2 linked regions of the Callithrix jacchus genome follow. The protein of the gene in region 1 interacts with the protein of each later gene in a pairwise test. Links are inferred from orthologs where the notes say so. Each region holds a gene or a part of one and is shown on either strand. Other genes may lie near its edges. The genes, in order: PRR22 and NELFA.

Region 1 (3,981 bases):
CTCTTCCAAGGCTGGGCCTGTCTCATTACGGAACCAGTGGCTGGGCTGTCCCTGCAATGTGACTCTCCCTGCAGTGGACCCTGCAGTGTGACTGGCCCTCTCCTGGGTTCTGGGTGCTGTCTCATGTCACCACCTTGGGTGCAAGTTTCCAGGTTCCCCAGGTGCTGCATGCACCCCGCTCCTTCACACGTGAGCAGTTTCCCCATCCCCGCCCCTGCCACACGCCAGCATCTGCTCCCACCCTCAGATCTCAGACCATCCGGTGAAGCCCCCTGTACCCACCTGTCTGAACAAGAGCCTGGCCCTTCCCACCCTCCCTGGAGTGGCTGTGGCTTCCTGGGGACAGGAGGCACCTGGGCGGGGAGCTGGAGGCTGCTTCTCCAGCACTGCCTTGACAGCTGTCTCCAAGGAAGTTCCTGGCCCTCTCGGGGCAGTCTGGCTTTTCCCCACCAAACAACGGTGTGAAAATCCTTAGAACATGTTAATCTGGGGGGCAGCTCAGGAGGGCCCTGCCTCCGCCAGCAGAGAATGATCTTCCAGGGCTGGGACTCAAGGGGTTTAGGGTGTCCTGTAATTCCAGGGCCTCCCTGCTAGGCTCTGGAGGCCTCACTAGTCCTCGGGATGACGGGGCGAGGGGCCAGGCGTGCACCTCCAGGCCCCTCCGCATCCCCAAGGCTACTGCATGGACGTGGACCTAAAAGGTGAAATGCGCTTTAATGGGGGGCAGCTCCCAGGTCCTGCCTGGGCCCCAGGGGAGTGGCGCTGGCTGGGCCTGCGGGCTGGCTGGCCTTCCCTCCCGGTTTTCCCTTCTTGGCTGTTGAGGCCTTTCTCTTGCGGGACAGAATGGGGGCCACAGCATTGGCAACAGGGGGCCCCTGGCGGGGCAGCTGCTCCTCCTCCAGCGCCTTGAAGTTGAAGAGGTCGACACTGGACACAGTGTCCAGGATCTCAGGCACGCTGTAGTCGAAGGACAGCAGCTCCTCAGGCAGACACAGCGAGCGGATGTCGTCGGCCGAGTTCCTGCCACCGTCGTCAGGCAGGGCCGGCCTGGGGACCTTGCGCGGGGTCCTGTTGGGCTTGGTGGTGCCCGGCAGGCAGTCAAAGAGCTTCATGGCGTCCTCCAGCAGAACCTTGTCTGGGAGTGCCTTGGCCTCGCCCGCCCCCAGCAGGGCCCCCTCCTTGGCCTTGGCCACCTTGGGCTCACTGGAGCTGGGTGGGTACAGCAGCACCCCGGGCCCGGCCCCACTGCCTTGCGGCTCCTTGGTGGGGAAGTCCAGGGGTTCAGGCCCAGGGAAGTGGCCAGGGTGGCCCTGGAGGCAGCTGTAGGTGTCCAGGGGCAGCATGGACTCTGCAGGCCGCGGGATGAGTACAGGGGGCAGCTTGTTCTCCTTGGGGGGTGGGGCTGGCGGTGGGGCCATGCCTTCCTCGAGTGGCAGCAGGGGTAGCTCCATGAAGGCGGTGGGCCCCGAGTCCCCTGCAAAGCCCAGAGCCTCTGGCCCAGGGCCCTCAGGTGGGAAGTAGGGCAGGAGGAACTGGGGCACCCCGGGTACTGGCTGGTAGTGGGGGTATGGGGGCCGCCCCGGGAGGTAGCTGCCTGGGGTGGAAGGGCACCCCATTGGCCCCCTGCCACTCGCTGCCGGCTTGTACAGGGCCGACTGGCCCAGGTCGGGAGTGGTCCACTCGATCCGATAGATGCGGGGGTCGAAAAAGCACCCGCATGGGGCCATCTGGAAACCTGTGGGTGGCAGGCGGGTGCCCTGAGAGCAGCTGCCACCTGAGGGGCCCAGCCCAAGCCTGGGGGCCTGTCTGGGGGATGCCACGAGAACCTTGCCATTGGGGAGCCCCTTTGGGGATGGGAGACAGATACCACGTTGGGGCCCTGGCTGGGTGATGGGGACAGTTTGTCTTTGGGGCTCACTGGGGGACCTGTGTGAAGCATGGGGAGCAGAGGCCATGTCATTGGGCCCCCACCTAGGGGTGGGGCAGGGCAAGCTGGGCCCCAACACCCAAACCCACTCCCAGCCTCGTCAGGGCGCAGGGGGAGGCTGGTACCTGCTGGAGGGGCTGGAAACACCTCTTCCTCTGGGTTTGGGGGGTGATAGAGGTTCAGTGAGGCTGTGGACAAAGGTGGCCGCGTGGGTGGGGCCCTGAGGTGGGTAGGCCCCCAAGCTCTCCCCAGCAGGCGTCCACACCAACCCCATTATACCCATGGCGGGAGGAGGCTCGGTGCAGGTGGGAGCGGACTGGCTGCCCAGCACCTCAGCCCCCTCCAGACTCTGGGGGCTGAAGCCTTCCTGGGGAACTGCAGAAGCATAGAAGGATTTGGGGTGCTGCATGGGGTGGCGGGAGGCCTGGTCCAGGGGGCAGTGGGAGCACAAGTGGCCCAACCAGAGCACAGGCTGAGAACCTGGCGGGGTTCTGTTTGCCTGGTTGCTCTGGGCAGCGGATTCCAGCCTGCAGCCTGCTCACTGGTTGGGGTTCTGGGTGTCGGGGGTGGGCAGGGGGGAGACGGTGGCGGAGACGGTCATCACCAGGGGCAGGAGGACCCTGGGCCAGGCCTTCCGCCTCTTCCAGCAACACCCCTCTAACAGCTTCGAGGCTGCCTCATCCAGGCAGGCTGCCCTGATCCACACCCACGCAGGCTGAGGCCCCCCAGGTTTTGCACCTGCTACCTTCTTGGGGGTCAAGGTCTCTCTGGGGGCAGCACTGAGGCGGCCAAAAGGTTTGGGGAAGGTGGGGGCTGGGGATGGGCAGCTTCAGGGTCACAGAAAGGCCTCGATCTTAAAAGAATAAAATTTATTGTCCTCTTCTTCCCTCAGGGTACCCCGGGGAAGCCCCTGATGCTACTTGTAGGCATTGGCCTTGTGCTTCGGCAAGAAGGTGAAGTTGGGGGGCACCGGCCCAAGGAGCATCTCGCTGTGGGAGGGCGGGGGAAAGCAGAGTCAGGCCCCAGGCCTGCGCAGTGCCCCCCATGACCCAAGGCGCCCCGACTCCAGCCCCCGGGCACCTGATGCGGATCCAGTCATCTGCCTTCTGGCTGGCCATCAGCGTCTCCAGGTAGTCTCGGCCCAGGTAGTAGGGTGGCCGTTCATTGATCCTCTGTGGGAGCCGCTCCAGCAGCCCCACGGGCACGTACCTGTGGGCGGGCGGGTGGCAGGATCCAGTCAACCCAGCTAGCCCTCCCCAGCCACGGCCCACACAGTGCCCACCCTGGCCAGCCCCGGTGCCCACCGGCACAGGAAGGATAGCCACTGGAGCAGGAAGCGCCGGGTCTTCTCCACGCCCTGCGTGTCCGAGCCCCAGTGCTCCAGGCCGTAGTTGGTGAAGTCCCGCAGGATGTCCAGGCGCTCGGACGACGAGATGTCCCAGTGCCGCTGCTCCTTGATCTCTGTGAACAGCCACGGCTTGAGGAGGGCGCCCCTGCAGGGCGGGTGACAGTCAGTGGTCGCAGTCACCAGCCTGCCTGGGATCCTGTGGCCCAGACCACGAAACCTGCAAGCCTAATATGCCTCCCAGCTGTGGCACACAACCTTCAAAGCCCAGGACTTTTTCTATTTTTTGTTTTTGAGATGGAGTCCTGCTCTTGTAGCCCAGGCTGAGGTGCAGTGGCGCAATCCTGGCTCACCGCAAACTCCGCCTCCTGGGTTCAAGCGACTCTCCTGCCTCAGCCTCCCAAGTAGTTGGGATTACAGGCTTGTACCACCACCCCTGGCTAATTTTTGTATTTTTAGTAGAGACAGGGTTTCGCCATGTTGGCAAGGCTGGTCTTGAACTCCTGATCTCGGGTAATCCACCTGGCTCAGCCTCCCAATGTGCTGGGATTACAGACATGAGCCATCAAACCCGCCCAAAGCCCAGGACTTTCAAACCACAATGATCAGATCCCACAGCAGCAGCAATTCCCAGTCCCCTCCGCCCCAAAACAGCCGCAACTCCTGACATCGCTCTCTCCCACTCCCATCTCGGGACCATCCCGCCACA
Region 2 (3,143 bases), on another chromosome or scaffold:
TTGCAGGTGGCTGTGAATGGGCGCTGGCCGGGCCTGTGGGAGTGCTGGGTGGGACCTGTCAGAGGCCTCAGTGCACTGGAGGGTGGGAGGTGGCGGCAGGCGCCAGGCTGCAGTGGGTTGTCTGAGGCCAGGGCCTGGAGGAAGCCACAGCACGGGTCACTTCTGGGTAGTGAGCTCCTTCCCGTCGCATCGCTGCATGTTCCGGTTCCTTAACATGAATTTCTTTTATCAATGCTTTTGTGGTAAGAAAAAGCACTGCTCTTTCCTTCAGTCCCCAGAGATGGGCAGTTTGGGCTCCCCAACCCCTCCCGTCTCCTACCCGGGAGCCACTCAGTCCCAGACTCTGCTGGGGCGCCAGGGGTCCCATTGCTCAGCCCAGGGAGCCCGGGAGAGTGGCCCCCGCCGTCCTGCTCCAGCCAGAGCCTGTGGGCCGTGAGGGGCACGCGCTGGAAGCAGGGCCTCTTCTGGGAGGGACCCTAAACTGTCTTCCAGAAACTCGGGTCCCTGAACAATGAGCCTGCCCTGCCCTCCACAAGCTACCTGCCCTCCACGCCCAGCGTGGTTCCCGCCTCCTCCTACATCCCCAGCTCAGAGACGCCCCCAGGTGAGTCTGCTGGCCCCAGCCTGAAACCAGCCAAGCTGCCACCCCCCAGGCGCCGCCAGGACTGCAGTTCTCACTGCTGCATCTCTGTTGTCCCCCTTCTGCCTCGGCCAGTGCGGGGGGCAGGTGCCCTGCTAGTCAGCTCAAGTTCCAAGACCTAAACCAGCTGTTTTGCCCCTCTGCCTGTCCTGGGCACAGGCAGCTGCCCCAGGGGATATGGCAGGAAGGGGATTGGGCTCGCAAGGAGTCTTCTGCCAGGTGACCTAGCTCTTGTTGCTGGGTAGTGGGGAGGGGAGCCAAGGGCCATCCCCTCCCAGATGGAAGGCACTGCCAGGCTCACGGCACCTCAGGCCAGGCGTTGGGCCTGCGGACACAGCCTTCCTCTCCCCATCAGTGCCTCCGGTATGGGGGACCCACCACAGGCCAGCAGCTGGCCAGAGTCCAGACATCTTATCTGCGGGTCTGGAAAGACCTGAGACTACTGGCCTTGCTCCTCCAGCTGGGGCCACCGGGAGTTCTCATTAGAGGGTAGCAGGACAGAGAAGGGGAGCTGAGCCTGTCACCTCCAGGAGCACTAGAGTCTGGGGACGGGGGGCGGGGGTCCAGCTCCCTCACCAGACCCTGGTCTGCCTGCAGCCCCATCTTCCCGGGAAGCCAGCCGCCCACCAGAGGAACCCAGTGCCCCGAGCCCCACGCTGCCGGCACAGTTCAAGCAGCGGGCATCCATGTACAACAGTGGCCTGAGCCCTGCCACACCCACGCCTGCAGCCCCCACCTCACCTCTGACGCCCACCACACCCCCGGCTGTCGCCCCTACCACTCAGACACCCCCGGTGGCCATGGTGGCCCCACAGACCCAGCCTCCTGCCCAGCAACAGCCTAAGAAGAACCTGTCCCTCACGGTAGGTATGCCCTGGGGTGGGGGTGCCATAGTGCCTGCAGAGGGGGAGGCAGGAGGTGGTCCTGGCGGAGCCCCGGCACCCACACCCCTCTGCCCGCTGTAGCGAGAGCAGATGTTCGCCGCCCAGGAGATGTTCAAGACAGCCAACAAAGTCACGCGGCCCGAGAAAGCCCTCATCCTGGGCTTCATGGCCGGCTCCCGAGGTGTGTGGATGCGGCAGGGGCTGGGGTGCACCGGGCCGGGTGGGGGGGTGGGCGCTTTGGCCCCAGACACCCACCCAGCAGCCCCTGCCCTCTGCAGAGAACCCGTGCCAGGAGCAGGGGGACGTGATCCAGATCAAGCTGAGCGAGCACACGGAGGACCTGCCCAAGGCGGATGGCCAGGGCAGCACCACCATGCTGGTGGACACGGTGTTCGAGATGAACTATGCCACGGGCCAGTGGACGCGCTTCAAGAAGTACAAGCCCATGACCAACGTGTCCTAGGCCGCCTGCCTCATGGCAGGCCCTCAGCCGGGGGCTCCGAGGGACGACAGCTTTGCCGGCATAAGTGCCCGGCCGGCAGACAGCTGGTACACGAGGCCCCCCAGCTGCCCTGGCCACTGCCCTGCTGCTGACCCGGCCTGTTTCAATGCTGGATGCGTTTCTCCGGGGTGTTTTGGGCTTCTTTTAAAATTTAATATGAGTTCCTTTTTGCGTGATTTAAGACACTTTTTGGACTCAGCATTATATTTTTGAATGTAGTAAGTTAACCAAAAAAGTTACAACTTCCTAATTTTACTGACAGCTCTGTTTTAAAAGTCTTTTCCTAAAGAAATCCCACTGACAGCGAGTAAGGACCTTCCCTCGCGGGGGCAGTGCCCTCCCACTCCCAAGGTTGAGGGGACCAAGGTGGCATCGGGGATGCTGGGGGTGGGCAGGGACACCCAGCCACACCAGAGTGTGGGAGACGGTGGCCTCATCCCCTGCCAGTGCCTGCCGGGGAATTTTGTATTCATCTTTTGTACAGTTGTGGACATTTAAGACAGACGGTCTTTGGGTACTTATTTTCATTGTAAAATTATCTGAACAATTAAAGTTTAGCTTTTCTAAAGAAAGCCACCATAGCTGTGTTTCGGGCTAGCTTGTCCTCCCTGCACTGGGGACCCAGTCCCTCCCTGAGCGGCCATCGGGACGGGGTGGTCCCAGGCTGGCAGCTCTCTAGCACACCGTGGCTCACAGGGAGGGGAACAGGTAGGATCAGCCCTCGGGGTACTCCCTGGACCTGGCTGCGGGCCTGGGGACCACCTGGCTCAGGGCTGAGGGACAGCAGCGGTTCTTTCTCCCCCAGACCGTTTCACCCCTGCTACTTCCGGTATTTGTTCTGTGTCCCAAGGTGGCACTGCCTCTCCCCAGCAGGACAAAGGCAAAATGGCACGGTCAGGGCAGGGAGCCCCACCCCTCCGGAGTGCAAGGCATCAGCGCCATCAGCGCCTTGCAATGCTGAGCAACTGGAAAAAAAACACAATCCCATATAAAATAAGTTAAGAAAAAAAGCCTTTAAAATGTTTTTAATACAAAAATACTCATACACTATTTTCCAAACACAGCTTTCCACTTTAAATGCTATTTTCCCGAACCGGCAAGTCTCAAGTCTCTAGTT

Evidence for each region.
Region 2: the proteins of PRR22 (region 1) and NELFA interact in a two-hybrid assay, tested with the Homo sapiens proteins (2 studies listed by BioGRID). The two-hybrid records come from large-scale screens. The link is inferred for Callithrix jacchus from reciprocal best matches to the Homo sapiens genes PRR22 and NELFA.

The regions. Positions count from the first base shown.
Region 1 is NC_133523.1:5,474,389-5,478,369, forward strand, and holds PRR22 (proline-rich protein 22), read right to left. Parts: upstream 2,381-3,981; 5' UTR 2,337-2,380; coding exon 2,207-2,336; intron 2,116-2,206; coding exon 2,053-2,115; intron 1,736-2,052; coding exon 714-1,735; 3' UTR 696-713; downstream 1-695. Other genes in the region: DUS3L (tRNA-dihydrouridine(47) synthase [NAD(P)(+)]-like), read right to left, coding at 2,844-2,916, 3,008-3,136, 3,232-3,420.
Region 2 is NC_133504.1:191,171,520-191,174,662, forward strand, and holds the end of NELFA (negative elongation factor A), read left to right. Parts: intron 1-492; coding exon 493-604; intron 605-1,237; coding exon 1,238-1,503; intron 1,504-1,605; coding exon 1,606-1,705; intron 1,706-1,802; coding exon 1,803-1,987; 3' UTR 1,988-2,598; downstream 2,599-3,143. UniProt on the Homo sapiens protein: Essential component of the NELF complex, a complex that negatively regulates the elongation of transcription by RNA polymerase II.